2 linked regions of the Drosophila melanogaster genome follow. The protein of the gene in region 1 interacts with the protein of each later gene in a pairwise test. Each region holds a gene or a part of one and is shown on either strand. Other genes may lie near its edges.

Evidence for each region.
Region 2: the proteins of Jheh3 (region 1) and CG42807 interact in a two-hybrid assay, tested with the Drosophila melanogaster proteins (one large-scale study listed by BioGRID).

What each region holds. Positions count from the first base shown.
Region 1 is NT_033778.4:18,852,866-18,869,066, reverse strand, and holds Jheh3 (juvenile hormone epoxide hydrolase 3), read left to right. Parts: upstream 1-6,988; 5' UTR 6,989-7,140; coding exon 7,141-7,541; intron 7,542-7,601; coding exon 7,602-7,806; exon of another isoform or gene 7,807-7,874; coding exon 7,875-8,675; 3' UTR 8,676-8,692; downstream 8,693-16,201. Other genes in the region: CG43109 (uncharacterized protein), read left to right, coding at 914-1,000, 1,060-1,146; DptB (diptericin B), read right to left, coding at 1,227-1,472, 1,529-1,645; DptA (diptericin A), read right to left, coding at 2,938-3,258; CG43071 (uncharacterized protein), read left to right, coding at 3,874-3,927, 4,012-4,143; CG43070 (uncharacterized protein), read right to left, coding at 4,534-4,583, 4,643-4,724, 4,779-4,924, 4,973-5,075; CG43069 (uncharacterized protein), read right to left, coding at 5,942-6,181; Jheh2 (juvenile hormone epoxide hydrolase 2), read left to right, coding at 11,217-11,414, 11,664-11,863, 11,976-12,183, 12,376-13,161; Jheh1 (juvenile hormone epoxide hydrolase 1), read left to right, coding at 14,014-14,223, 14,280-14,479, 14,534-14,744, 14,803-15,606.
Region 2 is NT_033778.4:13,562,329-13,579,307, forward strand, and holds CG42807 (uncharacterized protein), read right to left. Parts: upstream 10,432-16,979; 5' UTR 10,203-10,431; coding exon 9,702-10,202; intron 9,638-9,701; coding exon 9,302-9,637; 3' UTR 8,267-9,301; downstream 1-8,266. Other genes in the region: CG42808 (uncharacterized protein), read right to left, coding at 11,447-11,854.

The sequences.
Region 1 (16,201 bases):
ATTTGCGCATTGATTTAGAAAATAGCTCTTCCATTGAATTGGAGCACTCTCCATATGAAAATGACGTGAAAACCAGAGGTGGAAAGTGCATCTGGGATGGGGTCAGTTGAGGCTCCAAATACTCTTAAAAAAAAGCTGTTGGCAACTAAGTAAAATAATTATAAAAGAGCATAAGAGTTGGCTTTCTTTAACTATTTTCTCAGTTTATAGATGGAACTTAAAGTTCTTATTATTCCAATTTAAAGTAAGCTCTTGCCCCAGTTCGTTGAGCTCTAAATAGTAAAGGGTATGCATAATGCAGGGTATGAAGAGAAAAATTGCTCCGCAATTGAAGCTATCAAAAAGGAGCTTGGCCAGTTAACCCAAGACAGCGAGTTGGACTCAAAAACGAAGCAGTGGCAAAGCGCAACCAAATTTCCGTTTCGGTAGTTTTTCTCTTTTTTTTATTTTTTATTATTTGTTTTTTTTTTTGCTGTGAGGATGGGGACTGGGTGCAGGAAAAAAGTCATCATAGCCTGACCTTCATTGTTGAGTTGCTTCTAACATTTAAATTTGTTTTGCTTTTCCATTATTTTCGGGCTCTGTTGTGCTGCTTTTGTTTTGGCTTCTTTTCGATTTCAACAGAAAACGTGCCAAATTTGGCTGCCAGTTGGACGTTCCCCCCCCCCCCCCCCCCAAAAAAAATTTAATACAGTTCAGCTGGGTTGGGCATTGGCTTTGGCTGTAGCTTTGACCTGGTCTCCGTTCCAGGGGCTATGGTCTTTTGTCTGGCCACAAGCTCTTGACACACATCCAGACATTCGGTAGTGTCGGCCTTATCGGGCTCTTATCAGCTGGTTGAAAATTGTTAGAGAAGCCAAAGGCATTTCGAATCGGGCTATGAATTCAGTCGGACGCAGCTTCTCCCGGTGAAATGTGGCTTCTCTGGTTTATTCTCCACCTAATTGGCCTCATCCAAGGGCGTTCTGTGGGCGGTGGGTCTGTAAACTTGGATGACGAGGTTAGTTTTGCCCTTTAAGTTTTGCTTTATTTGTTACATTTTTGTATTTCTCCCTATAGTTTTTCATGCCTCAGCCAGATCCCACAATATTTGCCTACAATCAAACTGATAAGGGATCATCACCCTGGGACAATACCTGGAACTGAATACTTGTAAAAAAAAAAGTGACTTGTAATTGTAATAAATTTATTTTATTTAATAAAAATTATGTAGCTTCTGAAGTGCCCTAAAACCTGAAGGTATACACTCCACCGGCTCCCCACTGAGGCCGGCTGTTGCCATAGGGTCCACCAAGGTGCTGGGCATACGATCCCGTGGCATCGAAGGAGTGGCGTCCATTGGGGCTCTGCCAAACGGGAGCACGTCCGTTGAGGCTCAGATCGAATCCTTGCTTTGGGCTTCCACCGCCACCGCCATTCAATTGGAACTGGCGACGCACTCTGTGCAGGGGCACATCAAAATTGGGAGCATACTAGAAAAATACTCTATTAAACTGTGCTCCAAGTGAAAAGTTTCATAAAAACTTACTGCCAGTGGTTCAGGCTGCAGATTCACAATCTCTCGGGGATCAGGATAGGGATAAGCCCAGGCACTCGAGAAGGCACAAGCCAGTCCAATGAATAGAAGACTAGCGGTGAAATGCATTTTGATTTGATTAGGCTTTGTCAACTGAATGCGGCTAGAGTCGAACTCAGGTCTTATATAGCTCGGATCTGTGTCTTATCAGTACTCGCAGATGAGATTCCCCAATTGGGAATCCCTGTCAAGACGACGGTGCAGTGGTTCACCAGTGGATCCCCACATTTCGTTGATAAGAGGTACGTGTAGGCTCCTCAAATAGAGGCAGATGCCAAAGTGAATCCCATCTAGAAACAATGAATGTAGAGGTACTCGCATTTCGATTGGGATCCATTCATGTGTGGCAGCTGTGAAAATAATATATGTATATTAACTACTACAAGCTAATTCTATTTCAGATTCTTAGGCTAACATTAATTCTTTCTAAATTAATTCTTTCTAATAAAAAAGAGCATTATACGAAGAGTTATATTTCTTTTATGCATTCTAGTTAAGATGCAAATCTATGTTTTATCATTTTAACACCAACTTTCTTTCTGGTAACCTGAGTTTTATGCATATATAATACATTTTCATTCAACATATATTCTATTTTTAATCATCTCCAATTTCGTGTTTTCTATTAGTAAGAATATCGGATGTTACTTTCGCCAAAATTTGATTTCCTCCCAAGCAAAATTACCTTACAGGTTCCGCAGACCCAAGCAGAATTTAGTTTCCCAAATCGATTCATCATTTTACAAGGTCAACTCAATTTGGCCATTCTTAGCTGGAATTAATGATGTGAAAAGCTTTGGTAATCCCCAAATTTGGTTGTAAAAGAGTTTAGAATACAGCCTCTGCACGAATCATTTTTCAAATACTCGAAGCGAATCTTATTCGCTTTCGTTGGGGATGGCGTAATATTTTAATCTTCGGGTTAGGCTGCGGATGTTGCGCATGATAAATTTCCATCGAAGGTTCTCTCGACAGTTTACGCAATAAATCCAATTAGCAAAAAACATTTTGTCTTGGCAGGTTTCATTAAGACCGCCTGTCATCGTAATTTGTTATTACCCAACGGAGTTGGCCAAACAAGATGTATCAACAATTAGCCAAACTGCAAGATCATCTGTGACCCACCAGCCTCTGTCTCTAGAAGTCTGCCTCAATGTTCCGGGTTAAACAAACAACGCCAAGGACATTGATGGCATTTGAGATAGTGAAATTATGGTCAGGTATGCATATCGTTGTATTCGGTTATATATTTTGCAATTATCTGAATATACAAAGTGGGTATGGTTTTTATAATAGCTAGACTCGGATACCAATCGAGATAATATTTGGTGAAGTTTTTTACAATAAAATATTTATGAAGCTTAGAAATTCGGAAATCTGTAGGTGTAGGTGCTTCCCACTTTCCAGCTCGGTTCTGAGTTGCCATATGGTCCTCCCAAGTGCTGTCCATATCCTCCATTCAGTCCAATCTCGTGGCGTCCATTGTCGCTGGTCCACACCTTCTGGTGACCCTGGACTGCAAAGCCAAAACCATCGCCGCTCTGGCCACCGCCGCCTCCCTGAAGATTGAGTGGGTACTGCGGTGGTGGAGTGGGCTTCATGGTCATGTCGTCGGGCATCGGATAAGCCAAAGTAGAAGCGATTGCGCAGCAAAGTAAGGCGACGGCAATGGTGAACTGCATCTCAGTTGTTCTCAATTGAAGAACTGGAATATGCTGACTGATACCTTTGCTGCAGTTTCGATGCTCTTTTATAGGCCGCTTTCCAAAAGGAATCCCCGATGTCACCTTATCTACTCAGAAAGTATACCTACGGCGGTTATTGTCTCATAATTAGAACCCAAGATTGATTACCGGTCATAAAAAAGGAATCCCCGATGCAAAAACAAATACCACCAGGGGATCTTTCTTAAACGAGGACTCACACCTTATTTTCATTTGACAAACAAGAGGTTAAATACTTATTAAATGATAAAATTTGTAACCTCTTATTCCACGAAGTTTTTAAATATGTATCTTAAGAACAATATCCCAACCTCCCAGCTTATTATTAACAATTAAAACATTAATGATTTCCCTTCGAAAATAAACGAAAGTTCATCCTTTTCCCAGTTCCACGGATTAATTTTAAAACCTCTCCGCGGCGACAGACAAAGAGCGATGTATGTTTGTATGCAGGCAAACAAAAAAAAAAACAAATATAAATATTTAATAAGTGATAATTGATTAAAAGCAGAGGTTGAGCAAACGTAAAAACAGTTTCCCATCAGCAGTTGAGTGCCGAGGCAGCCGAGAGAAATGTTGTTACAATCGATATTAATGAAAATATTGGCCGTTTTTTTGGTCTGCTGGGTGAGTGCGGCAAAGGAAAAATATACAATTAATCCGAAAATAAAAAAATATAAAAAAAAATATATATGCATATTTACTTTACAGCTGGGACACGTCACAGCCCAGTCATCTGCCGATTATATAGAGCTTGAAATTGGTTCAAGGGGTGAAGGTCCACCGGAAAAGACGGAATTTCCCTGGGGCAATGATGACCAGGATCTTGAAGCAACATTTTAAGTTTCTTAAGATTTTTTAAATTCTATAAATTGCATCATATACATCTCTGTTAAATATATTATAAAGAGAATCCAAGTCTTATCAGTAAAGTTACTTGTTATAACCAAAATTATACTATACTTTTGGGCCCATAGAAAAATAACTTACTCTTGTATGACTTAGTCTTAATTTAATTTAGTCAGTTATAATATATAAACCACCTATTGTTTGTCAAAACTGGCTTTATATAAAAGTAAACTCTTTCTACTCATGTATTAAATTATATCTTACTACTTTATAAATATATTCTATATCAATACCCATAATTCCCATTTTTAAATGAATGAACCTCCAAACATATTTTGTATACAGGGACCAAAATAATTACAATTTTTTACAACATTTTCTAAACTACTCAAAGTAATAACTCAGCACTACCAAAACAAGACTGACATGTGTTACTGTTGAAACACACTATTAGATGCCTCGAAAAAGATTTTTGAAAATTCTAAAAACTTACCAGCTAATGGCCAAACTGGGAGACAGACACACGGAAAAGTTAGGCTAATGAAAATTCCGTAAATAAGACATGTTCTTTTCTTCTAAAATGAAAACTAATTAATATACCGCCAGGATTTTATATTCTTAAACTTCACCTCATCTAATGCAAAGCATAGTAGAATCGAAGATACTATCTGACATAGCATTACGACAGTGATTCCCATAACAACATCTTTGTCAATAGTTCCGGCAAAAGTGTGATATTTGAACTGACGTCTCTGGTGATCAAATGGATAATTTACTGAGGGAAAAATATAAACATTAGCTGGCAAAACGTGTACTAACTGACCATAGCAATCCAGAATGTAGGCGTAGAAACCGAAACCACTCATTAAGTTCCACGAAGCCAGAGTTGCGATGACAAACCAACGTTGATTTGATCGATCTGGCATAGTGTACCTGCGTTTTTGTTCATAAAAAATGTATTTTTTTTTTTTAGTAGGTAAAATATGCTGAATAACTTTTCCAGGCCCGCCCCAATGGAAATCAATTTAGCGTCAGGTTCAATGGACTTTTACGACAAGTGCGTGTCAGCTGGATGAAAAACTAATTGCGACCATTAAGGCCACGCCCCCTCTTCGAGGGCGAGGCGGTTGCCAATGGCAGCGGCGTTGGTGCCAAACTTTGGCCGTAACTGGAGCACTCAATAAAATGTGAATTAGCCCGGCGGAGCCGGCATTAATGGTCCGCGATTCGGGTCCGCAATAGGAACCTCTCCATTTCCCCGGAAGGTGGCAGCTTTGACACGCTTCCAAGTATCAATGCGATTGTTTTTGCGGCACGCGAACAAACTTTAGTCTTATTTTTGTATGTTTTTCAACTGCAGTGCATCGAAAGGTAGTGAATTTGAGTCCTTTGACTGCGGCACGGTAATTGCGTTAATTTCGCTCGAATTACGTTTCCCATCATTGTTTCTGCCACGGCGAACCAACCACGCCCCCATTTGGCTGTCTTGCATGTTTGGCGGCACTTTTGTGGTTTTTTTTATCGAGTCTCCTTGCCCCTTGAGTCCTTCGATATAGTTGCATGTCGACAGCATTATTGGTGCCCTTACAATTTATGCGAATTATCCCCTACCTTTTATGCACCCAGAAATAGAAATGTGTAAAATTTAGACAAAATATTACCAAGTCTATGCATATATTTGCGATGGGTTTCTATTTTACAATTTTTATCTAATATTTTCAGTGTACAATGTCGCCTGCTAACCTCTCGCAGTTCACTGCCTCTATTAACTTGGCTTCATGGTCTTCGAGCACTAACATTCTTCTACAACATCGACGATGTCATTATCCTCCATGGCCAAGGAGTCAAATGTGTCCTCCTCCTGGATTTTCTCACCATCGAAGGCCAGGATCAGAGACTCAGTAGCAACTCCAAATGCCTGGGCATATTTTTGCCTAAGAAGTGCGGCCAAAGGTTGATCCGTTCTCACATGGCACCGCAGTTTAGGTAGATTTGAGGATAGAAGCCAAATGGTTTTGCTTTGATTGGCCATTCTATTTTACATTAGAATTACTAGGAGTGTATTTAGATAGTGATAGGTGCCACGTGGCCTTCTGATCGGCCGACTTCATTTCATTCATTTTTTGGAGCCACATCATCAGTGGCAGAAGGGCTGAGATTTATGATCAGTTGCCGGCGTAGCGCTTACCAATAAATAAGTTCGATAAGATAGTGGTGGCGAATAAGTAGCTGGGACTATTCTCAAGTCACCATCGCACTTGTCTCATATGGTACACACGTATGGGTCACCCTATCTCGCTCGGAAATCAATGGGCTATTCAAGGTGCAGACGCGGGCAAGTAACACAGTACCAGGCAGACTAACCGCAATGCACCTTGGGGCTAAGTCTATTATAAAATGCTGGAAATAGAAAATAATGAAAAAAAATATATATACTTCCTAAATACCCTTTGGTTAGGGAATTGGTATTCCTAAATACCCTTAGATAGGCAAGCTATCTAACTATCTAATTATATATTATAAGTACAAAAGTACAAAAAGTATAAAAGTATTATAAAGTACAAAAATTTCATTATAAAGTGCAAAGCTTTAACCACATTTAAATATATTTATACTTTATACTTAATTTCCCAAGCCCATTAACCTTTGAGCTGCGAGCAGACCATTATAACCAAGATCAAGCAAAGATCAATTTGACAGATCATATTGTGAACCACTGTGCACGATAGCCAGCGCTATCTAAACGAATTTATAAATATTATACGAACATATACTATAACGGCGACAGCGAATTTCGATAGAGCTTTGCGAGACAATTCGGGGAATGAGTATATGCGCCGGCAGTCAGTTCTTAAGCGGCTTTCTGGTTGCACGGTCGTGTTTATTCCGAATTCGGGTTAGGAATCACAAACCATTATCTCTTCTGGGAGGTGTACGAGGTGGCTAATTTAAATTCATAACGAGGGGGAGCTAATTGCGCCTGTGGCCAGAATGAAGTGCCTGATAGTGTTTGGTCTGATTGTGGCCCTGTTTGGTGCCTTCGTGGGCTATGGCTACGTGGTATTCACGGAACTGACCAAGCCCCTGCCCAAGCCGGAGTTCAAGGATGATACGTACTGGGGTCCCGGCGATGCCAAGGACTTTGTGCCCGACGAAAAGATCTACGAGTTTAAGCTGCAGGTGCCGCAATCGGAGATCGATGATCTGCGAAAGGAACTCAACCGCACGCTGAGACTAACCGAACCGCTGGACGGAATCGCCTTTGAATACGGATTCAACACCTATGCACTGGAGCAGTTTGTGGACTACTGGCGGGACAATTACCTGACCAAGTGGGATGAGCGCCAGGAGCTGTTCAACTCGTTCAAGCAGTACAAGACCGAAATTCAGGGGTGGGTACGAGTGCTTTTGTATAACATGGATGCCATGCTAAAAACGTAATACCTCCGCAGCTTGAATATTCACTATATCCACGAAAAGGTATCCGAGGAGGCTAAGGAAAAGAAACACGTATATCCTCTGCTCCTGCTCCACGGCTGGCCAGGATCGGTGCGCGAGTTCTTCGACTTTATACCCATGCTAACCAAGCACTCAAACATCACGGATTACGCTTTTGAGGTCGTGGCACCATCCCTGGTGGGCTACGGATGGTCCGATGTGAGTGTTATTTGTTTTTCAGTTGAATTTCTTCATTTTAATTATTATTATTATTATTATAACTTAAGGCTGCCACGCGTCCCGGATTTAATGCCGCTGAAATGGCCACTGTGATGCGTAACCTGATGCTGCGTCTGGGCCACAAGAAGTTCTTCATCCAAGGCGGAGATTGGGGCAGCATCATTGGCAGCAACTTGGCCACCTTGTATCCAGAGAACGTAATCGGTTACCACTCGAACATGTGCGTTCTGCACACGCCACTGGCCATTCTGAAGGGAATCTACGGCAGCTTCTTCCCGGAGAAGTACTTGCCGTCCAGATTCTTTGTGGATCATCACTTCCCCGTGTGGGAAAAATGGCTGGAGCTGCTGGAGGAAAGCGGTTACTTTCACATCCAGGCCACCAAGCCGGATACGATTGGAGCGGCTCTGACCTCCAGTCCCGTCGGCTTGGCCTCCTATATCCTCGAGAAATTCCAGACCTGCACAAATCCCGGCCTGAAGCAGGACTTTGGCGCCATAGTCACTGTCTTCGGCCTGGAGGCTGTGCTGGACAACCTGATGGTCTACTATCTGACGAACTCGGCCACGACAGCGGCTCGTTTCTACCTGGAGAACGTGTCCAAGACGTACAGGGATCTCCAGCTGGATCGTGTGCAGTCCCCGGTTCCCATGGGCTGTGCCCGCTTCCGGTTCGATCTGGCCTCGGTGACTGACTGGCAGCTGAGGGACAAGTTCCCCAACCTGACCCACTCGATGTACTTCCAGCAGGGCAGCCACTTTGCCGCCCTGGAGATGCCGGCCATGTTGTTCAATGATTTTACCGCCTTTGTGGGAAAAATTGGCCTACACGGCGAGAAGAGAAAATAAATTGTTTTAAGTATAATTACCAAACGGATTTTGTACTTTCGCTTGGGAATCGGGAGGCACATGAGATAGCTATTAAATTGGCAAGGCGACAAAAGGTCAACGTATTTTAAGTACGGTTTTGCAGTAAGGTGGTTGGGACCACCTCAGTACCACCATAACGTGGTTACATAATATTTAACAAATGTGGAAGGGAAATAGAAGGGGGTAAGACAAAATCTTTTTTAATTACATTACAATAAAACTAATAACTATAAATAGTAGGTATGGTTAAGAAGTAATTGCTTGTAATCCATGTTTGTAATTGACCGCAAACTAAAAAAATATTATTGATTCTTTATTTATATATATGTATATATGTATATTTATATATATACAGTCATGGTCAAAATTATTTTCACAAAGTGCATTTTTGTGCATGGGTCACAAACAGTTGCTTGTGCAGCAAGTGGGGGGAGGTGAAATGCAAAAAAACTTTTGCTTTTGCAAATTCAAACCTATGCAGAGTCAGATGAAAGAAGAATTGAAAAAATAACTGTTCCTATGCGCAAGGAAGAGGCAAATGAAGAGATCTTTATCAGTTGTCAGAAGTATTTGCACACGGTTTCGTCGCATCACAATTATTTTCACAACGCAATTTCTTCTTCAGTGATTGGTTTAGAGTGACAAGTGCCGGTTTGTTTGCTTAAATACATTTAAATTATTGAATAAAAATTAGATTTAATCATTTTCCTATTACAGTTATTAAATAAAATGCCCAAAACAAAAGAGTTAACAGTTGAGGCCCGGGCTGGTATTGTTGCTAGGTTTAAAGCCGGTACACCTGCGGCCAAAATAGCTGAAATATATCAAATTTCGCGTAGAACTGTCTACTACTTAATAAAAAAGCTTGATACAGTTGGCACATTAAAAAATAAAAAAAGATCAGGCCGAAAACCTGTGCTGGACCAAAGGCAATGCAGGCAAATACTTGGAGTTGTGGCGAAGAATCCTAGTGCCAGTCCGGTAAAAATTGCCTTAGAATCAAAAAATACAATTGGCAAACAAGTTAGTAGTTCTACAATTCGTCGCAGGCTAAAAGAAGCTGATTTTAAGACATACGTTGTTCGCAAAACGATTGAGATCACACCAACCAACAAAACAAAACGTCTTCGATTTGCGTTGGAATATGTTAAGAAGCCTCTTGACTTTTGGTTTAATATTTTATGGACTGATGAGTCTGCATTTCAGTACCAGGGGTCATACAGCAAGCATTTTATGCATTTGAAAAATAATCAAAAGCATTTGGCAGCCCAGCCAACCAATAGATTTGGTGGGGGCACAGTCATGTTTTGGGGATGTCTTTCCTATTATGGATTCGGAGACTTGGTACCGATAGAAGGAACTTTAAATCAGAACGGATACCTTCTTATCTTAAACAACCATGCTTTTACGTCTGGAAATAGACTTTTTCCAACTACTGAATGGATTCTTCAGCAGGACAATGCTCCATGCCATAAGGGTAGGATACCAACAAAATTTTTAAACGACCTTAATCTGGCGGTTCTTCCGTGGCCCCCCCAAAGCCCAGACCTTAATATCATTGAAAACGTTTGGGCTTTTATTAAAAACTAACGAACTATTGATAAAAATAGAAAACGAGAGGGAGCCATCATTGTAATAGCGGAGATTTGGTCCAAATTGACATTAGAATTTGCACAAACTTTGGTAAGGTCAATACCAAAAAGACTTCAAGCAGTTATTGATGCCAAAGGTGGTGTTACAAAATATTAGTATTGTATTTATATAAAATAAAAAAAATTCTTATGTTGAAATTAGATGTTAAGCTGAAATTTACTAAATTAAGTTGAGTGAAAATACTTTTGAAGCGCAATAAACATGTGAAAATACTATTGACAACTTGCATGCATATTTTCTTTTGCTTTAAGCTTTGTACTATGAACCGTTATCTTTCGTATTTCTTTTCGACTACCTTCTGCATAGATCAAGCTAAGCGATAAGAACTATTTCAGGCAAATCGGACAACAACAAGAAGAAATATAACAAAAAGAAGTTGAAGTTTGCAAATATTGTGCGTTGTGAAAATACTTTTGACCACCTCTGTATATATTAAGGGCTCCGCGTGTTGGTAATTCGAGTTCTTAATCATTATTAATTAATTAAATCAGTATTTAGTTAAATGTCATATAACAATTTCATTTTAAGCATGAATCGTTTCTTGTTCACTTTACTTTCGTGGATTGATAAATGGAACTGCTTGATCATCTTCCTAAACTAAATGTAAATTTTAAGTACAAAAATTGCTCTCACTCAATTTGTTGCCAAAAGCTCGCCGAAATTCTCAAATTATTTGTCCAATCATGCTCGCATTGCATTGCCGTGTGGAATACGATCCACTTGAAATCCACAAGCCAACAAAAAGCTTTTGTTTGCCGGTAGCTTGCGCTTTACAAATCATTTGTGCTCGACGATCGTAAGCGAGGAGTTGCGCAGTTCGCCGATCTGTGTATATAGAATATATAAAGAATATAGCATAAACACACAATGGCGAACATCTGGCCACGAATCTTGGTCGGAGCTCTGACCATCCTGGTGGCCGTTGGCTATAAGAACTATCGCGATCTCTCGGCGCCCGGCAAGAGACCCGATCTGGACAACAACGCCTACTGGGGTCCAACATTGAAGGAACCTTATCGGGAGAACAAGGCCATCCTACCCTTCGACATCAGCGTAAAGCCAGAGGTAAATAAATATACATACACAAATGCATATATACAAATGCAAAATATCAAATCAGTATGATATGCAATCAAAGCTATGAATGTATAGTATATGTAAATATTTCGAATCATGCTGGTATGCAAGTATCATTAATTATACAGAATTTATGGTAATTTGTACAAATTCATACTATTTAAAGTTATATTTGATTTAATAATTTAATTTAAGTTATATAATTTTTTTAATATCCTTCATCACTTCTTATCAAAGGTTATTGAGGATCTAATCGGTCAGCTGAGTCGTCCTTTGAAAGCGCAGGCGCCACTGGAGGGTGTGGGTTTCCAATACGGATTCAATGCCAACGAACTGGCCAAGGTGGTGAAATACTGGCGCGATACATATCTGCCCAAATGGAGCGAACGGGAGGAGTACCTCAAGAAGCTGGATCACTACCAAACGGAAATTCAGGGGTGAGTGCGACAGAACTTATGGAAAACCGAAGTGTTCCACGCTTAATTAGTCGCCTGCTTTTGCAAATTAACATGAAAAGTTAACCCCAAATGTTTTTCCATTTTTTTGCAGTTTAAAAATTCATTTTATTCATGCCAAGCCAAGCCAGGTGAAAGGCCAAAAGCCCAAGAAGGTGCTGCCTCTGCTTCTGATGCACGGATGGCCGGGAACCGTTCGCGAATTCTACGACTTCATCCCTCTCCTGACCACGCCCAGTGACAAGAGCGACTACGTCTTCGAGGTTATTGCACCCAGTCTGCCCGGCTACGGATGGTCTCAGGTTAGATTTGTTTCCAAAGGGACAACAATAAATTGCTAACCAAGTAATGCTATATTCTCCAAAAGCCGTAAGCCATAGAACTTATCTCTTACTATGGCATTAATATATAGCACTTAGGTAGACAAGTTATTACACAACCTTCTCCAAATTACAAATTGAAAAATGACTAATTTTATATTTTTCCAACTCCAGGGCTCTTCAAAAACTGGATTCGGTGTGGCGCAAGTGGCGGTGGTGATGCGCAACCTGATGCTCCGAGTGGGATTCGATAAGTTTCTGGTGCAGGGTGGCGATTGGGGTTCCATAATTGGATCCAATGTAGCCTCACTTTTTCCGGAAAACGTGCTGGGCTATCATTCTAATATGTGCGGAAATAACAGCCCTATGGGTCAGTTGAAGATGGTGCTGGCCTCCTTTTTCCCCAGCTGGTTTGTGGACAGCGAGTATGCGGACTTCTACAAGGGACTCGGTCACTTGTTTAGCACCATAATGGAGGAGATGGGCTATGCCCACATTCAGGCCTCCAAGCCAGACACCATCGGCAATGCTTTGATCGACAATCCAACTGGTCTGGCTAGCTATATTCTGGAGAAGTTCTCCACATGGACGAATACGGCATTTAGATCGCTTCCTGACGGTGGTCTGACCAAGAGATTTACCTACGATCAGCTTCTGGACAATGTGATGATCTATTATGTGACCAACTCCATTACCACCTCCATGCGTCTGTATTCCGAATCAATGGTTGCCTCGCAGTTTGCACTGGCCGTGGACTCCGTGCCCATCAAGGCCAAGGCTGGCTGCACCCGTTTCGCCCATGAGATCACACATTTCTCCGACTCGGTTTTGGCCAACAAGTTCCCCAATCTGGTGCACAGTACCCACCACCGGGATGGAGGTCACTTTCCCGCTTTTGAGCTGCCCCAGCAGCTGTACGACGACTTTGTGTCTTTTGTCCAGAAAGCCAATTTCTCATAAAACAAAATTGTTTATCATTAGTTATAGAAGTCCATTGTACATTTTCATCGTGATTCTTGAAAGAAACGGTTATGTTTGTTGCAAAAATTAAATCAAATCGACTTGGTGATTGTATTTGCCTTATCTGCTTTGAAAACCGAAAGTTGAAGAGTTTTTTGTTTGGAATACACGAGTGGCGAGCAAAAGGGCAGTGTGTGGTGTTTGCTTTCATAAGTATATGTACATATATGATATATCTAAGCTCGGAACGATGTTACGTAACTTATTCCCATGGGCTATAGTCGACATTGGTGTACCCTTTATAAGAAATCATGTAATATGTTGAATTATTACTTAACTAAATGACAGTAGAGTGATATTAAACCAAATGAACATCAAATTTTACTTGGCAACAAAGATCTCACACATGTTCAGTCTACCCCAGTGTAGTTCGAAAATAAGGGGTATTTTTTAGCTAACCTGGTAGCCCAGCTGCGTCGCAAAATATACAAAAACAATTCGCGGGTCTCATTCTTTATACATATAGTACATACATACATACATACCCCTCCGGTCTTTACCCGTAAAAGCTTCAAACCAAAAACCGGCATGTAAGCTTTGTTGAGTAAATAAACAAACAAGCCGATTCATTCGAGTCATCCCCGATGTGGAAAGCCGCTACTCCGTCTCAGTGGAGTCGAGTCCAAAGTAAACCCGCGATAAGCCCCAACTGATCGGCGTAGGGTGGTCACTCAAAGTCGCTTATCATCATGAGCGTCGAAAACGAGAGCTGCGCCCACGATGATATGGTAGAATCAGTGGAATCGTAGCTGCTATCCGAGACAGTCTGAGTGGAACCGCTGATAGGAACAGATGGGTGTCACTGTTAAAATTCTGGTCTTGATACTGGCCATTGCCGGTGGGCTGGTCTATAGGAATGTGACCCAACTATGGGCGGACTTGCCCGCACCAAAGTTGGATCCCCAGGAGTGGTGGGGCGATGAGGCGCAGCCCAAGGATTACGAGGCCTATTTGAAGAACAATTCGGAGGTGATAGGCAATAGGCTTAGTTATCCGGATAAGGTAAGTGGGGGTCTATCCATTATTATGTACTATATACTAACTCATACCATGTGCAGACCATTGCTGATTTGAAAGAGCGTCTCAATCGCACCCTGCGCCTTACGCCTCCGCTCGAGGGCGTGGCTTTTGAGTACGGATTCAATACGAATTACCTTAAGGAGGTCGTGGAGTACTGGCGCGATGACTACCTGCCGCGTTGGCGCGAACGCGAGGTGTTCCTTTGGCAGTTCAATCACTTCACCACCGATATTCAGGGGTAAGATAAGGTGCCCACTTATCATATGCACAGATAGTAACGATGGGGTTTTAGGCTACGCACACACTTCCTCCACCTGATGGTTTATGATGACAACAAAGTGGGTAAGAAACACTATCCGGTGTTGCTGCTCCACGGATGGCCGGGATCGGTGCGGGAGTTTTACGATTTCATACATTTGCTGCATCAGACCAATCTGGACAATAATAACAAGTACATCTTTAACGTCGTGGTTCCGAGTTTACCAGGTTATGGCTGGTCACAGGTGGGTTTTGTCCAATCTACGTAGTGTATTATAGGCTTATCTGTCTCTTATCCTGCAGGGCACCTCCAGAAAAGGACTGGGTCCCGCTCAAGTGGCGGTGATGATGAGGAATCTTATGCTGCGTTTGGGATACAACAAATTCTTTATCCAGGGTGGAGACTGGGGCAGCATTATTGGCAGCAACATTGCCACCTTGTATCCGGAAAACGTGCTGGGCTACCACTCGAACATGTGCAACAATTTGAGTCCGAAGTCGCTGGCTAAGGGTTTAGTGGCCGAATTTTGGCCCAGTTTGTTTGTGCCCTCTGGCTTTGAAGATTTCTTCTTTCCCAAGTCTAACGAGATGAGATACCTAATGGAGGAGAGTGGCTACTTCCACATCCAGGCCACCAAACCGGACACCATCGGAGCCGCCCTCACCGATAACCCAGTGGGTCTGGCCGCCTACATTCTGGAGAAGTTCTCCACGTGGACAAATCCCAGCTACCGATCTCTGCCAGATGGAGGACTCACTAAGCGCTACAAAATGGATGCCCTGCTGGACAACCTGATGATCTACTACCTGACCAATTCGATTACCACCTCCCAGCGTCTCTATGCCGAGCAGTATGCCCAGGCACAGCGGGACCTGCACCTGGATCGGGTTCCCACCCGAGTGCCAACTGGATGTGCCCGTTTCAAGAGCGACATTATGCAGTTCCTGGATGTCCAGTTGAAGGATAAGTACACGAACCTAGTGCACAGCACTTACCACAAAAAGGGCGGGCACTTTGCCGCTCTAGAGGTTCCAAAGGTTCTATACAAGGATTTTATAGACTTTGTCGAAACGGTGGAACGTAAGTTTAAAATTAAGACTCTGTAGATCTTCCAATAAAAGCTTAATTGTTACAAAAAAAAATTAGTTTTTATTTGGTATCGATAACCTAAATGGTTTTGATCCTGGAAATGACTAGGTACCCGGAAAAATAGTAGTAGATGTTACCGTTTTCCACTTTCAACTTTTCACTTTTCTATTTAACCTTAATATTCAATGTTGTATTAGGAATATTTAATTTGTTATATACACTTCAATGAATAAGTCCAAAACAATTCATTCATATTTTTCATAATAATAATAATTTGGTTTAGTTTCTATGGAACGCATAGATTAAATTTTTAGAAGAATAATCGGGACATAGTTTAATTTTTATCATTATCGGTATTTTTTAAATGTTGTACCTCAGCAAACACAAAATACTGAAAAGGGTACCTTGTTTTAGGGCCAGGTACACGCGTGAAGTTACCTCCCATCCCTGATCCTGGAACATTACAATCGGGAATCGGAGTTAAAGTGGCTGCGCAGATGGTCAAGAATATATAGGAATATTAAACAATTACAAATTTGGAATACAGGATTTGTGTGAGATACAGGCTGGTCCAGAAGCTCATAAAACGAACAATTTATACCACGATCTAGG
Region 2 (16,979 bases), 5.3 Mb from region 1:
CATAATGATGTTCCTTCCGTAAGCCTATCTCAAAATTTGTTCTCAAATCAAAGGGTTAGGATGCTCGAAACTGTAGCAATGTAACAGGAGAACAAGAAAAAAGGACACGAATGTGGAAAAACTAATATCTAACTACCAAGGTAAAAGGGAATTATCTACAGGTATATTCTGTGGGTCCTTATGTGTTTCAATACAAATCTGGTTCTTATTCAGGTAGTTTTTCGTTGAGATTTCTGCGTGGTATTTATGTAGGCCTGTTCGAATTTTCTGGCTTGGTCACGATTCATTGGTTTTTCACATTTTCATGAAAATTTTCAAATATATAAACACATCTTTGAAAAGTTAAAGATTGCTAGAAGAATAATTTTCCAGCGACTATTTAAGAATTATGTTCACCTGCTATATTTTGGAAAAATTTCTCCGCTTCGCTGGTTTTCACGATCATCTTCATTAAGGGAAAGGAAAAATATTTCCACAACTGATGCTGCACACCACTCGGCCTGACCTTTGCTTGTTTAGAAATTAAGTCAAAGGTCACAAAAGTGTAGCATTTGAACAGGTTCTCAGAGTCCTGGGGTAAGGCTAGAATCTAGCAATCCAAATACATTCTGTACCATTCTGTAAAATTCATCATAAACCACCTTTCTCATAAAACAATTTACATGTGATCAAGTTAATCAAACTGCCATCAGTGCACAAGATGAAGATATAAATATTTAAATCGTAGCATTCGAACAGGCAAACAACAAATGTCGCAAGCAGACGGCAGGTCAAAGTTGAGCCCCGAAAAGGTCATCTAAAGGTTTCTTTCGAAAAGATGCTGCACATTCAGAGTCTACATTTCATGATAGCCTATTCGTCTGTTCAGCAATGGTTACGGTTCCTTGATTTTCATCCAGAGACAAACACATCCGTGGGAGAATCCCACCAAAATGAGATCGCACTTGGAAATTCTCATCTTCGGCGGGTGTAGATCTCCTGCTGCGATCGTTGGCCTAAAACTCTTGCTAACCTGTTCCCTGGATACAGACGATTGCGCTCCACTGATTTTTCCCATCATCGAGCGATGCTCCCTGCCTTTGGGCACTTTCTTCATCTCCTGGCTGGCCTCCTGCAATTTGCTGTGAACCTGTTCGAAAATTATGCATCGATGCGCATCAGTGGCAATCATGGATGGCAACATAATAATGGGATGCTGCTGATGAGTTTGCTCATAAACTGATGAGGGTACCTGGCTGTCTACCTAGCTACCTGTACCTGTGATTCATTTCGATTGCCTAGCTGCTGATTCTGTTCACCTGTTCGTTTGCTACACTTTATGCATGCTTCGGCAGTTTTCTAATTATGACTTATGATCTCTGGGATTAGACAAACAATGGATCGTGGCACGTGGTTCCCAAGATGCTTTCGCTTGTGCCTGACCTTTTCCCACGATCTGTTTGCGGTTGAGCGCTCGAGGCCCATGATCACCGCAAATCCCCTGCAGACAAAACAGCCAAAGGCTTAAATCTGTATCATTCGAATGGGCGAACAGAACGGCGAAGATGGGCTCCTACAACTGTACCTTCACTCCGCCAGGTAGGCCAGGTAAATGCGCGGAGAAATCCCTCTATACACACATATTCCTGGCCCAAAATCTCAGCTGGCTGGGATGCTGTTGCCCTGATCGTGAGGTTCGGCTTGATTGCACTTTAAGCCGCAGGCGTTGGATGGCCCGAGGCAAATGTCGGAGTTCCTGGAAGTCAGCACAACAAAAGGCTGGATTTGATGGATGGGTTTTTTGTTTGTTTTGCTAATTGATTTTGATCAGGTCAGCAGAATTGGTACGTAGGCAGTTAAAGAAACCCAAGAATTGACTTCCTATTCTTAAAGAAACACTTTGTATTCCTACACACGCAAATTGCCATAATCGAGACAACTTCCTGTTTATTTTAATGCGGCGTGAAATTGGAACAGGCTGTCAGGAGGGGAAAGCAAGCAAATCTGCTCTTCGCACTTGAATGATTCTTGGGCCCAATCATGGGCTATTGTAATTCGATGCGTGTCGAAGACCATTATGCGGGTCTTTGGTAGGCGGCTGGCAGCACTGCGTAGACTCCCTCCTTTCGTCGCTGTGAGCCTAGTGAAAAACATGAAATTATCGTGACAAACATCAGGGTTCATTAAGTCGCTTAAACACATGTATGTTTGTACTTGTACTTACCACACACCACGATCGCGTTTCATGTCGATCCATATGAAGAGTAGAGTGCGGCCGAGGGGCGTTTCCTTTGCCGCGGGCCATTTTTGAGACCCTATAATTTTCCAGTTGATAATCTTGGCTGATGATCGCTAATTGGCTGTCAAAGGGACAGGAACGCAGGGTAGCCTAGCAAGCAACTGGTTGATGATTGGAGAGTTGTACATATGTATGTGGAAGGTACTACTCACACTGCGGGGTTGAAACTCTGTGGCACGTGCCACACTTTCTTAAGGTCTTCGAGCTCCTTTTGTCTGAAATTTGATGCTTGTAAATGTCTTGGGACCGAACAGGAAAACAGAGTTTGTAGAACGACGAGAAGATGTTTTTGGAACTCGTGTTTCTTTCAGTTCGCTTATTGCCGGTGGTTGGTTGAAGTTGAATTTGATTTCGAGCTGGGAGGGGAAAATGATTGCTGGCTTGTGCGTAATTGAATTACTTAATGATGCGGTCGAATTGGAATGCATTTTTTTCAAGACTTATGAAATATACTGATATACTTGGGCGTTTATAGTTTAGTCTGAGATTTGAAAGAAGAGAATAGCACAACACACACTTTTTGAGAAAAAAGTCCACAACCGGATTTTGATTTAACTTGAATAATACAAATATTTGAATTATGCACAAATTAATTGTTAACAAGAGAGAATGCTTAAGCCTTCTAAGTCCTTCTAGCTGTTATAAACCGCAGTGATGGACATGGCCAGACCGACTTGGCTAGTGACCCTGATCAAGAATATATATATATACTTGACATGGTCGTACTCGCAGCCCACAACCCGCACCATATATAAAAGAATATGTCAATAACACAATTATATAAATTATAATAGTATAACTTTTAACACAATTATATAAATTATAAAAGTATAACTTTTAAAGTTTCTTTCCGTAAAACTGGTGTATAATATAATATATTTTAGTTACTTGCGCAGCACAAAATGTTGTAACTTTGGTTACAACCTTTGTAGTTCCCAGCGAAAGTTTTGTATTAATTTGCCTAACTTGTGCCTTAAGTCGGTTTCATCTAAACCTCTGCTGACTTTCTGTTTTCCTGCTCGAGATCTTCGCTTGAGCATAAACAGTTCTCACGATCACTCGATCTCGGCAGAGAACATTCGTTTTTGTAACGGATAATGGCCAAGAATTTCCCACACGATGTTGACACAGCGAACCGCGACCAGCCAACCAAACAGACCTTAAAGCCCTCCGCAAACACTCACTCACACTCACACACACACACAGCCGTTCCACAGAGTCCACATCCGCTTAACGTAACGATCGAGGATCTCGTTAAGAGCAACTGCGACCAATGTGGAGTGGAGTAGAGCGGCAACACCGCTGGAAAGTGGACGCAACCATCATATTCTTCTGCGCTCCTGATCCTTTTTCCAATACCTCGATTCGGAGTTCTCACGCGAGCACATGCCAAAGCGAAAAAAAGGGACAGGGAAACAATTAACAACTAATTTAGGCCTCTGCATATAATTTTATGGAGAGTGGTGCGGAGAGTCGCAGTCCCACAGGGAGATGCCTATCTGCAGGAGCTGTGGGAAAAAATACGTTACATTCCTTTCCTTTGCTTTCCTTCTCTCTCTGCCTGTCGTTGCGGCATTTATTCCCACGCGATCCTCGACTCTCGTTTTTGTTGGTTTTCGGGGTTTCGCTTTCGTGGAGTACCCAGTATTATTAAAATGCAGGGGTATATGGGTGGTGAGCAGGTGTAGGATCCTGTAAGTTCTGCTATTTTTCAATCTATATTTTAATACAATTTTTGTTTTAAGAATAAGATATTCTACAATTATACTCGTACAATTTCTTCCTTAAGGCGTACGATTAATATTTTGTAATTCACGATTAGAACTCGGTAACTGATAGTCGGTATCTCATTCCAGTGCAACGTTCTTTCTCGTTTTTTGTGGGTCTTCGTTCACACGCTCTGTGCGTAAAAAAGAGAAAATGAAGATATGGGAAAGGCAGGGATGCTGGCACTTTTTGCTGGTCGCCTGTTGCTAGACCAACAAATATTGATTGAAATTCTCACGCTCGAGGCAAGGAATTTTACCTGCAGCGAAAGGATTATGCCCACATTAGCTGAAAGATCTTCGAGGTATTTGTTGAATATGCTCTTAAAATTGGTTGTCTTTGGTTTGCTGAAAGCCGCTTATAGAAGGTGACAGTTTCAACCCTCTTTTGGATTCAATCCAGTTGAAGATGCTCTTTGGGAAACGTATGAATCTGCTGTTCCCCTAATGGAAGCCAAGACTTGGCACGACTTCTTATTTTCTTATGAATGAAAGCAGTTCAACCCTCATTTATAAGGTGTTGTTGCGTAATCTTCGCTCCTCCTGCTTTTTCTGTCTTCCTGGTAAGGACAAGACGTATTTTTCAAGGCAGTCCAAATTACGAGGGTTGCAAACGTCTTAGGAAAGGAGAAAGAGAAGGAATAACTTCTCCGTAGCTCAATAGTTTGGTGGTAGTTTTGCACTACCCAAAGGTAAGACGGCGGTAGCTAATCCTGGAAAGGTGAGATCCGCTTTCTGGCGAAACTGTTTGCCTGGTATCCGATTTAATTGAAGCGATGATGCTTTAATCCAATTTGCATATAAAGTTCGTTGGAAGAACAAGGACTCCCTGAAGGAATCCTAACCAACTGCTGCTCGCTGCTTGCCTGATGATTCAGAAAACTAATTAGTATTCCATAAATAGCCCGCATTCTCACGCCTTCGTGGAATCGGAGAACATGCGGGCCAAACGAACCCAAAGGAATCCATAAAAAGATCAAAGATATCCTAAGGTTTCGCGTATCATGTGACCATCATCGTGAATGTCGAAATCTGTTCATTGCCTTACGGATGCTGTTTGCCTAGTAGAAACCGACTAATTAAGCCGATTTCGTTCTCACGCCTATCCCAAAAAATCTTAGCATGTGGCATGTGGAGTTCCAAGAAAAAGGCCGCATAAAAAGATGTGAAAAAAAACGTGTCATAAAAAAGAACCCACATATTGTATGTCAAATAATCAATGTTTATTTTGCAAAAGAAACGGAAGCTGGTACAGGAAATGGAATCCGTAAGATCAGAAATCGATTTCCTGTTTGAAAAATTGGGTTTCAAGTGGTTACAAAAGCCATTTCCTACTTCCGTTATCCTGCATGTGTTCTTTAACATGCCATCCGGCAAATATTTCACCAGATTTAGGTCATGAGTATAATCATTTTAAAACACGTGCCAGTTTCCTGCATTCCTGTTAGAGAATCCACAGATATAACCACCACCGGGATACGTTTCCCACGTTCTTTAATTTTCCCAGGAAAATTCAGTCTTGGTAGAGTGTGCTATTTAAAGATGTTCCGGTTCCTTTTTTTTTAACAAGTTTTCTTGTGTTGATGCAATCAATTATTCCCATTGTGGAAATGACCTTTAGTGTAAACAAAGATAATTTCCGGTTGAAAATAGGCGTACCCTAAGATTATGATTCCGCTGCCGTAGTCCTGCAGGTGATCCCTCCAAATGGCATATGTTTTTCCGCTTGGCATAGAATACGTTTTCAGCCTGGGAAACCTTTATGGACACTTATCAACTGTCCTGTAGTCCTGTTAGAAAATCCCTAATCTTACAGTCACTTGAGCAATTTTCCCACAACATATTTTGGGAGCAATTTTCCCACAACATATTTTACATATTAAACAACTAATTTCTAAAGATTTTTTCCCAGGATCCTTTTTTACAGATCATTGCCTGTTGCTCTTCTTAAATCTTGTTGAATTTTACGGATCTTAGTTTCAATTAACTAAAAAACGGAAATGTAATTTGAAGTGTGAGCCATATCACTTCCGGTTGATGATCAATGTTTCCTAAGGAAGCGATCTTTTCTCAATCCTACAAGTGGTAATTCCTTGGCCTGTTCTTAGAAATTAGTTGGGACTGATTTTAAATTGCGGTTTAGGGTGCGTGCTGTCATTTCTGTTATCCTGCTGGAAAATTGTTAGCCACCACCACCACTTAAAGTTTGTTCCCATAATGGAAGATATACGATTTTCCCATGAAATATTTATAGCTCGCCTTGGTTTGTTTTAAACATTATTTTGCTTGCACCTTTTGCTAATTCTGTTATCCTGGTAGGATTTTCGTTAAGGGGTTAAATATTCTTTAATTTCATACACGCTCGAAATCAAAATTTTCCAAGGAATGGAAGTCAGAGTTTTCCTCGGAAGTCAATTTCCATTGTGTTGCATATATTTATGTTCGCTTGGTCTTTCAAATTTCAATTTTGCTGATTAAATTTTTAAATTGATACAGTTGAAAAGTATGCTATAACTATTTGCTTTAACTATGCACATTTTCCAATATCTTGTATGCAAGACGCGTTCTAAATTGTGTTGAGAGTCCTGTAGGTTTTTATGTTTGCCTGGTGAATGAATATTGATTTTTTTAAATTTATACAATTTTTCACACGATCAGACTATAGTAGGTTTACAATCTGCATAGGAAAAAAATAAACGATCGTCTTTTATTTTCCCATGCAACAGGTTTTAGGATGAAAATTAAATATCACAATTTTTCCAGGACTCAGGTAACATTCCTTTAAAAAACTATTTGTTTGGCCTGAGCCATGTAAGGTCACACGAAACATGAGAATTGATCACCATCGACAGATTTTCCACGGTTTTCCAAACAAAAGGCAGCAGGAATGTAACATCGTGTGCTCCGTGCCACTTACATTTTCCCAGGACTCGTTCTTAGGTAGACTCCTTTTCGGAAAACTATAAATAGCAAGCATCCTACAAATTTGTATGTTCGCCTGGTATTATTTAATTAATTTTTTCCGAATATCTTGAATTTTCACACGGTTAAGTAAACAAATTTTCCCAACAACCTTTTAAACTACGTAAAATGTTTGATTATTTTCCAAAGCAACAGGTCAAATGCATTTTCGTGTGGCTTAATCCATCTTCACTTTCCCAGGACTCCACTTCAGGTAACATTCCTTCGGAAAAACTCTCTGGAGTGTGCTGCTGTTTTTTATGTTTGCCTGGTGCATGAATATTGATTTTTCTTGATTAAGCTGCAATTTTCACACGACCGGCAGATGCATTTTCCCACATCTGTCCAGGCTGCATTACAAATGTATTTAAAATGCATTTATTTTTATTCCCATGCAACAGGTTGCAGGAAAAGTCGTATCATCGTGTGATTCGTAACATCTGCTGGTTCCCAGGACCCTTCAGCAGGTATAAGGTCGATCTCTCTTCGGAAAAACTCAGTGGCACGTTCTGCTGTTTTTCCTGTTTGCCTGGTGGCAATGTTTACATTGTAAACATCTGGACCGGAAAATTCACACGGTTGGTGGACCAAAAGCAGATGAACATTTTCCCACAGCTGCAGTGGTTGCAACTGAATAGATCTTAATTTGTAGAAAGACCGTTTTTTAAACAAAGGACGTAAGGTTTCCATGTGAAATCAACAGGTTTCTTGGAAAAAGGGTGCTCCTTTGTACCGTGCTGCATTTTCAGCTGCATTTTCCAGACTCGAGCAACAGGTAGAGATTCTTTTGGGAAAACTCTGTGGTAATGCTACCATTTTCGCTGATGCCCTGGTAGAAGAGTTTTCCATTTACACAACAATTTTGGAAAATTCACACGATCGGGACAGATGTATAGATTGCATTTTCCCACAGCTTCACCAGCTGCATCTTCAAATTCTTAGGGCATCCCGCTTTTTTATGATTCTTTTTATGTGGGAGGTCTTCTTTTTCGAAAAGATTTCAGCTGCACTTTCCCATGCCGCGTGCAGGTAGAATTCTTCGGCTTTTCTTCTTAAAATGCTACCGAAATTGCTGTGGGCCTATTACATGATTCTTCAGGGGTGTCTTCAAATTTTAAGAATTCTCACGATCTTTAAAAGATCAAGGATCAGAATAGTTTGATTTTCTTCTTATGCAACAAGTCCTGCCTGCAGTTCTTTGAAGATTTCCAGATTTTCCAGCAACTGCTGTTTTCGTTTCTGATTTCCTGATCGAAAACTTAACAAATTATAAGCAATTTTGAACATTTTCACACGCTGAAAATTCATTTTCCCATAACGTCCCAAAGGGCCAACAATGAAAGGATCAAAGACAGAAAATTCTCACGAATTTTCCCAGTGCTTCCACATGTGCTAGCTACCTGCTCTATCACATTTTCATTCGATTTCCCGTAGTGGCGTGCTAATTTTACTGTCAGCCTGTTAGATATTTTCCGAGGTTTCCCAAGCATCTCTAATATTTCACACGGTCAGCCCGTGTCAAGAGATCTTTTCATGATTTTGGGACTACACCAACCACGATTTTCTTTAGCCTGTGCCGATCATTGTTCTCACGCATCTGCCATCCAGATTGTGGAATCGGGACGGGGAATGTGGAAACGTTAGAATGAAAACCCACACACAAAGCGATCTCTGGTTTTATGTGACTCCAAATTCGAGGAATTATTTCTAAGGCTTGGAATGTTGCAGCGGTCCCTTTGAGTGGCTCAAATTCCAGAAATGGTTCGTGCGGGTACCTGAAAAAGGTCCAAATCCAGTTTGTCATCTTATTTTGCGTTGGTACTCAAGAGTCCACTGAAATGATTCTGTGCTCCTGGTGAATTGGTTGGAACTGGCATCTTTCCTTTTTTACTTCTTTTTTTTTCAAAATTGATAAACCAAGTAATAAACCACGAGGCTTTATAATTTGGATGGAGCAGGTGGTGCTACGAATTCGCTTTATAATCTTCATAAACAATACAATGTTTACCCAGCTGGCAGTTTTTGGTGCTAATTAAAGAGGCTATAAAATCTTTTTAACTATATGTACTTATTTATCTTGGTTTTGCTTAATAATCTACTTAGTTTATATATTTTTATTAATTCGCTTCTGGAAACAGCACTTCAAGTTTTCTTATCAAAACTTTATAGAGCAAAGTACATATTTATAATGCTGGTAATAGTATTTATATTTATTTAAACATCAAAAGCTATACAAATTAATAAATGCTGTAATATTTTCATTGACTCGAATGAATTTGATTTATGTAAGGATACTTTAACTGCTGATCAGGACCTCTACACAGCTCATAGCATTGGTTACAAACTTGAAGGGATTCCGGATGGTATCGTTGCGAGGATTGATCTCCGACAGAGAAACATATGACTTATTCGGACACGATTGCTCTTCAAAGGATCCACAGATCACCTTATTGGAAATGCAGGAGTCGATGAGTTGCAGCGCCAGTTCCACTTTGGAGGTAATAGAGTACACCTGGCCAAAGGAGCACTGCCAGGAGTTCCTAATGCGATTATCAGCCGTGCATTCCGAACTCTTCAGGTTGGTATTGAAAGTATTCTGTGTGGTGATGGTATACTTATTGGCATCACCAATCTGCAAGTGTAAAAAGAAGTCTCAGGATTCTGCTCTTAATAATATAGAAAGTTGTAATACTTACCACCTTGGTTACACAGAGTGTGTAATTTAACTGGGCAGTTGGATGAAGTTTTAGGCATTGTGCCAAACCATTCTTCACGTTATTTTTATAGTAGTTATTCAGGGTGTTGTAGGTGCTCTCAGGTGCATTTAAAATGCCACTAATACTTTCCTTACACTTGATAATGGAGTCCCTGGCCACGGTGATCGTTGGTATAGTAACACTATAGTTCTGTACGCATTGTTTGCTCCAGGAATCGATCAGGATAATGGGATCCAGGTGAGCGGAGGCTTGTTCCAATTTTAGCTGCATCGAATCTGCTTGCACATCGAGCGCATTGATTTGCTTCTGAAATAGCTGCTTAAAATTGGCTAATTCATCTGCCAGCTGTTTGATCTTCGCGTCATATTGCCGCTGATTCTGGAGTATATAGAGATCCATGGACTGGGAGCTGTTCTGCGCCTGGCTAGCCACCAGGCTCAGAAGAGCCAGAATGATTGCTACTCCCAGAAAGCTCTGCATCTTGACTGTGTGCCGAACGATTGGGAAGCCTCTGTTTATATATACTCTCTACTTTCTTATCACTCTACGTACTTCCCCTGCAAAAGTCGTCGTATCAGCTGCGGCTCCCCCATAATGAATTTTATTTGCAAGCTCCGAAATCCGCCTCTATATTTAATTGGCTTTCATTTACTTTTCAACTCAAGAATTGTTTACATAAGGTTTGGCCGTTGTTCCTAAGAATTTGTGTGGTTATCCTCTCTTATCGGGGCCTTTTATAGGCGAAAAGTTAAAAATTAATTACGTGTGCCAACTTAAAGCTCTAAACAAGGTTATTTAATGGGAACGTCAACGTGTGTCAATAAGGAAGTTTTTATTGATTGGGGACTCACACAAAAACAGTTTGTATGAATGGTTCAAAATATCATATTACAAAATGGCAAGAACATTCCTTCTGTTGGGTCTGGTCAGGAAGTGAATACTATGCGAACATTTGTAATTGTTTCGTAAATTGTATTTTTTAACAACCTAATAAGTTGTGCGATAACTTTGAAATACCAGCGTTTTTTTCAACTCGAAAAGGTTGTTCAAAGTGTAGAGCAGTTTCGAAAATGAGTTCCTGAATGAATGTTCAATTTGCTTTCCAAAATTTTATAATTTAAAAGTGTTTGTATTTTCAATGGACAAATCAGTGGGAAGTCACACGGCTTAATCGCGACATAATGAATGTGAGTATTATCAGCGAATGATGCATATATGTAATTTGTAATCTAAATGCTGTTTTCCATACACCTCATAAAAGGCAATCCCCATTTGTTGTTGATCTCAACAAATACTATAATAACAATTTTTAAAAACGCTTTTTCTTATTTGTTTTATTATTTTGCTTGCAAATTTTAATCGAATCTCAATAAAAAGTTTGAAAATTCTTTCTCGCACTTTCACTTGCTGTAATGGATATCTGATTAACAATATGTCGATATACCTTGCTATTTAAATGATTTTGCAAACCTGATCGAATTATTGTCCATAAAAGGCCACTAATTATTGCCACCGCCCACTGCAAATCCACCAAGGCGATTGCGGAACGGAACTTTCTAGTATTTCAGTGTTTTTTTTTTTTGGTTTATTAAGTATACGAATAAATATCATAAAAAATAAAATACAACAAACGCTTAGGTTAGGCGACAATTACAATGCGAAACCGAAACAAACGCAACATTTGCAGGATTAGTTTGATTGAAACGGGCGGATCGGGATCTCACTCAGTGCTGGACCAGTTTGAATCGGGATGCCTCTGCATAATCCCTGGCATCCGAGAAGTTGCGTTCCGGCTTAATGCGCACATCGTTGGGATCGTTGACGAACTCGCCACTCCAAGTGGTGGGCAGTACCGTGGGCTCGGTGTTGTAATCAAAGTAGTCCTGGTCATCGGATCGATTGCGCTCCTGTTTGATGCGGGTCTCGCCACTCTTCACGAAGGTGCCATCCCATTCGGTGGGCAGGACAATGGGTTCCGTGTTGAATCCGTAGAAGTTGTTGGTATTGGTTACGTTCTGGTTCTGGCGACGTATCTTGGACACATTATTGACAGCTCCATCCGGATACACGAACTTGCCGTTCCAGCCCTCGCACTTAATGGGTATGTAGTCCTCTTTCTTGCGCAGCGGCATTTTTGAACTCTGTTTTTGTTTTTACTTTTCCAACAGTTCGATCTATTCACAACGAGATTGCAAACACGATTGAGTCGCATTCGAGCAGGTCTTATTCTAAAATATGATTTCACCTTGTTTGAGCGCAAAACTCGTCATGTAAATGATTGTTATTTGCCGCAGAGAGTCGACCCCCGCGATTTCCATTTGTTTTGCTCGTATTTTGAATCGCTGACGTCAGGGGCGCGGATCTTAACGCGATTTCTTCCGACAGCTTCAAACGGGTTCAGACACTCAGACACTGGCAGAAAATGTTCGATGTCAAACGGGTGAAAAGGTTAAAAAAAGAGGATAAAAACTTCTACATTTCTACTAGAAACAATTTGTAAATGTCTTTGCATGACTAAGAAGTCTTTTCTTTTAGAAGCACTTTTTAAATACTTTCAGTTACGTTCATATGTACATATATTGTTGTCTCGGACCTTTCAGGAAAAGTTAGGAACTCCGACAGCAGAACAATTTATTGTACATATTTCGAAAACTAAAAAAATAACATTATAAAATGCTTACTAGCTTATTTTGTATCTCAAAACTGTTTAGTCGCTTATTATTTATTGCAACATATGTTAGAATGTAATTTTCGTCTTGCAATATTTATTTTCTCTCAGTGCACCTCCTCCGCAGGTTCGCACTTTCGACGGCGCGTCGCTCGGCGCTTGGCCATATAAAGTCATCGCGTCTGGGGCGGCTCAATGGCAGATCGGAGCCCGAAGCCTCGGAGCAGAGTTATGGTGGCCTAGCTGTCATAGGTGTCTTATGTAAAATACAGAGGTATATCTTGATTGCCAGCAGATTAAAGTGATTCATTCATTCGACCCGGCAGCGAATATGACTTTTTCTGGGGGCGGATCGCAATTAGAATGTGTATCGTATCTATGCCGCATTCTAGTAGTATGAATATTTATTTTTGGAGTCTTGCCCATCTATTTGTGTAGATAAATCCCACTTATAAGTACGGCAAAATAATTGAGATATTGTTGCCCGTTTATGGGGCAAATGTATTAATTTGCATTTTATTATTTTTACAAACCTTTAAAGGTAATTTATTTACTTTCCAAGTACAGCAAATAATCAGATAAGAAATATTTATTTAGCTTTACTTATTTATATATTATAGCACCTTTTGAATATTTTGTATTCCCAGTTTCGGTATGCATTCTGTCTAGACGTTTTCGCATCCGAACTAACTTAATTAAAACAAAGTTATGAGTGTTCGGGCCATTATTCATTTTCGCCATGGGTTCGTGTCCAGGCTAGTTGCTAGTCTCATCATCAGTTTTGCCAATTAAGCTTCGCACAGGCAAACAACGAAAGGTTGTTCCGACATAGAAAAGTGCACTGCAAAATAGTTACATGCAAAATGTCGAAAGAAAATTTTTGTCAATTTCTTTACAGGTATGCGTAATTAGTCGTTAAATTGGTAAATATTTGTATATTCATCTAATGTTCTAAATAAATATTAATAGTTTTAATATTAGAATCTTTCGATATTACTACTACCAACATTCTTAGTAATATTTAACTTTATACAAATATTTAAAGAATTTTATACTGTAATTACCACCTAATAACCCATACTGCATGATTACATAACACAAATAAAGAATAACAATAGCTTATTTTAATTGTAATTGTAATATATGTTTATTATTAATGTACAGATTGAAGACCATCGACCAGGATCAATCGATCCTAAACCTTTTTGGATCTTGGTGCTGTAGTTTTGTTATCCGTGTACCTTCTGCACCTCCAATACTCCTCCATTCCCTCCTCCATCTCTTCCGCTGGATGCGTGGCTGGCTTACCTGCGGCATGGACTCCCTCGCCGGCGACTCGACGTCCACCTCCTCCTCCACGTACAATTAGTGTCCCTCCGCTATCTGCCACCACCTCCTGCGGCCAACTCCTGCGCCGCTGCCTCGTTAGAAGCAGCAGCAGCAGCAGCAGCGGCAGCAGCGACGGCAGAGGTAGCAGCACCAGCAGCAGCAGCGACGGCAGTGCCGGCAACAGTTTGAAACTTTCTCATTTCGGCTGGGATGGAAGAGCAGAATGGCCTCCAATGTTTCTGGCCTCGTCGTCGTCTGCGCATTTGCTGAGCGCCTATTCGAAAATCCAACTAATTGCTTATTTTAACCCCTTGAAAACTGAGCGCACAACCAGACAAACACTTAGTTACACACACACACACATGTACATGCACACAATGGTCCCCAGGCTTCGTGTTTATTAATTAACAACACAAAAACCCCGAACCAACAAAAGGCCCCAAACACACACACACACACACACACATATACACGCATACACAGTGCCAACCGGGCTTAATCCAAGTGCTGTCTCTGGCATATTCATTAGTGTTCATTAGTGGAACAAAATGCTCATTTACTTAACTACTCCGGGACAGTCGGCTGTGTAGACCCATAACGAGCTCCCCCATCCCCCATACACCCCTCCCCCCGCTATTCCATAGTACCCCACTAGCCCCCACCACCGATTCCAGTACCACTCCCTTGGCACTTATCGGCACTCGGCAAGTCACTCGGCTCCTGCCTCGTTGGCCATCTACATCCCAATCCCAATCCCAATCCGCATCTCCATCTCGCTCTCGTGTTGCCAATTAAAATTCCACTTATGCCAAGTTAACTCACTTGGCTCGTTAATTGTTGTGGCTTTTTAATTGGACCCTTTTTTTCTCCTCCTGCTGGCTGCTTTCCCGGCCCCAATTCAATTGAACAACAACGAAAGCAACTACAACAACGGCGTTTTTAATGAATAGCGCAAAACTTGTGGGTGCTATGCATCCATTTAAGCCCGAAAAAAGCCCCTAGACCCGATCTCTCTTGGCCCAATCAAAACTTCCACTATATGCGGACCCACCTCCTCCGCGCACTGACCAGGCTTTTTTCTTTTTCAATGTCCCATTTGGATTGCTTATCGTCTGGGCTCGTCAGGGTTGTCAAGTCCTCGTGATGGCAAGACTAGAAAAATATTCTGACAAATGTAAAGATTTATTTTAGAGATACGAACTAATAAATATATATAAGCATAAAAACGTGTCTTGCTTTTACAATGCTAAACCTTTTTTGTATGAATATTGGAAAACCTAACAAGAAATAATTCACAAATTTAAATAAATAAAAATAACAAAATTAGCTAATGAGCAATTAATACGGTTTAATTTTAATTAATTATAGCTAGCTATCCCTTTTGGCGTGCTCGACAACCCTGTCGAGTTGCTCTGGCTCCATTCAACTAATGAATGAAACCGCAAGCAGTCGAGCAGCGGCAACAACAACTCGAAACAAAAACCCAACAAAAACCCCTAATTAAAATGCATTTTCATTTGGGACGTCAGTGTGCTGGCACCACCCCCCTTAACCCCCGGCCACCAACCGATCCTGTTGTGTGCCTCCCTCCTGAAACTGGACATAGGCGTCATCCAACGGGGGTTGTCATGTTGTTAGTGCTAATTAGCCCCCGCTGGTGGCGCCACTGTGCGCCTCATGAACCGTTATGCCATTGTACGTACACACACACACATACATACGCATAGTTATAGGCCAAGCCCCTCCAGCCCGAAAGCCCCAAAAACCCCAACCCCGCTACCGTTCGGTCTGAATGGCTGCGGGCATATTTAATTACAAAAGCTGCTAATTAGGAAACGTACACACCCACGTTGGTTAATTTGTTTGCAAACCAATTAACTCGGCGCATAGTAGCAGGCGCACAGAAAACCGCAGACAGTCGACAGGCAGCAAAAGCAGCAGCAGCAGCAGCAAATGGAATATTGGTCGCTTAGCCCAGTCGGTCCCTCAGTTCAATTCTGGGGGTCGTCGGAAGCCTTACGTGGCCGGGATGGTTCGGTGGCTGCTGAGAACTTTCCAATCCAATCGGTGGTTGGCGAACTTAACTAATGCCAACTAACTAACTAACCAACAACAACTGTTAACGAGCCACAAAAGCCTGGCCACAAAAGATAAGGGCCCAGATGTTTTCAGGGGTGGCGCAGGGATTGATAGAGAGAGCGGAGGCGACGGGGTTGCCAAGAAGCATTTCTAATAAATGAAAGCGAAACTTTAATGAAAAAGTTACGTTTCATTAACGTGTGCGTGCGTGTGAGTGTGTTAGCACTGTGAGAAAATAGGTATATATAGCAAAGATTATTCATTAAAATGAAGTCACCTGTGCACTGCAATGAATTTAAATCTAGCTATATGATATTTTTCCATTTTGAAAACTAGCTTGTTATAACAAGCAAAACACAAAACACAAAATCTTCAAAATCCTAGATCTAAATATTTATTTGAACTACGTTTTGTTCTCAGTGCATGTTTGTTCTTAATAAATGAGCTAGAGTTGCTGCAAAACTTTCTGTCGCTCTGGTTTGGCACGTTTGCCTTTGTTGCTGGCTTCTGGCTTCCGCCGTCAGACGGTCGTGCGTGCTAATGAGTAATAAACCAGCATTGTTGTTGCCGGGGGTGGGGTTGAGCCAGCCGTATCAACACCGCCACCCCCATCCCCACCCCTGCCACACCCGGTGGCCTAGACAAGCGGTAGACTTGAATGTCAGGCGAACAGACCCATCGAGCAGCATTCGCTGTCCCAAAAGAGAGAATGCGAAACCGGGGTGGGGTGGGTGGATGATGGGTTGGTTGGGTTGGGTTGGGTTGGATGGGTGGCTGGGTGTAGTGTCAGTTGCTGGGGATGGTATCTGTGTGGATGCCCTCTGTTCCGCCTCGGCTTTCGCGTTAATTAGTTTTGAGCGCTTTCATTATGCAGCTTCATGTGGCAGGCGGACGTGGCGCATGGACTTTTGTTCGGTGAGTGTGAGGGGGGCGAGGGGGAGTACAGGATACGCCATGTCCATGTCCATGTCTCTGCTCCGGAGCGATTCCATCTTTCGCCATTTCGCTAATGAGCTTTTTAGCTGACTAACCAATTTGGCGTAATTACATTTTTCTGATGCTCAGATTACTTTTTAATGGTATTTCTCGAAATGCAGCTGTCAGCTACATGGAATTTAAATTTAAAAAAACTGCTCGTTGAATGTATCTTTACACTGAAACAAATACTTTTTTAACTTTTG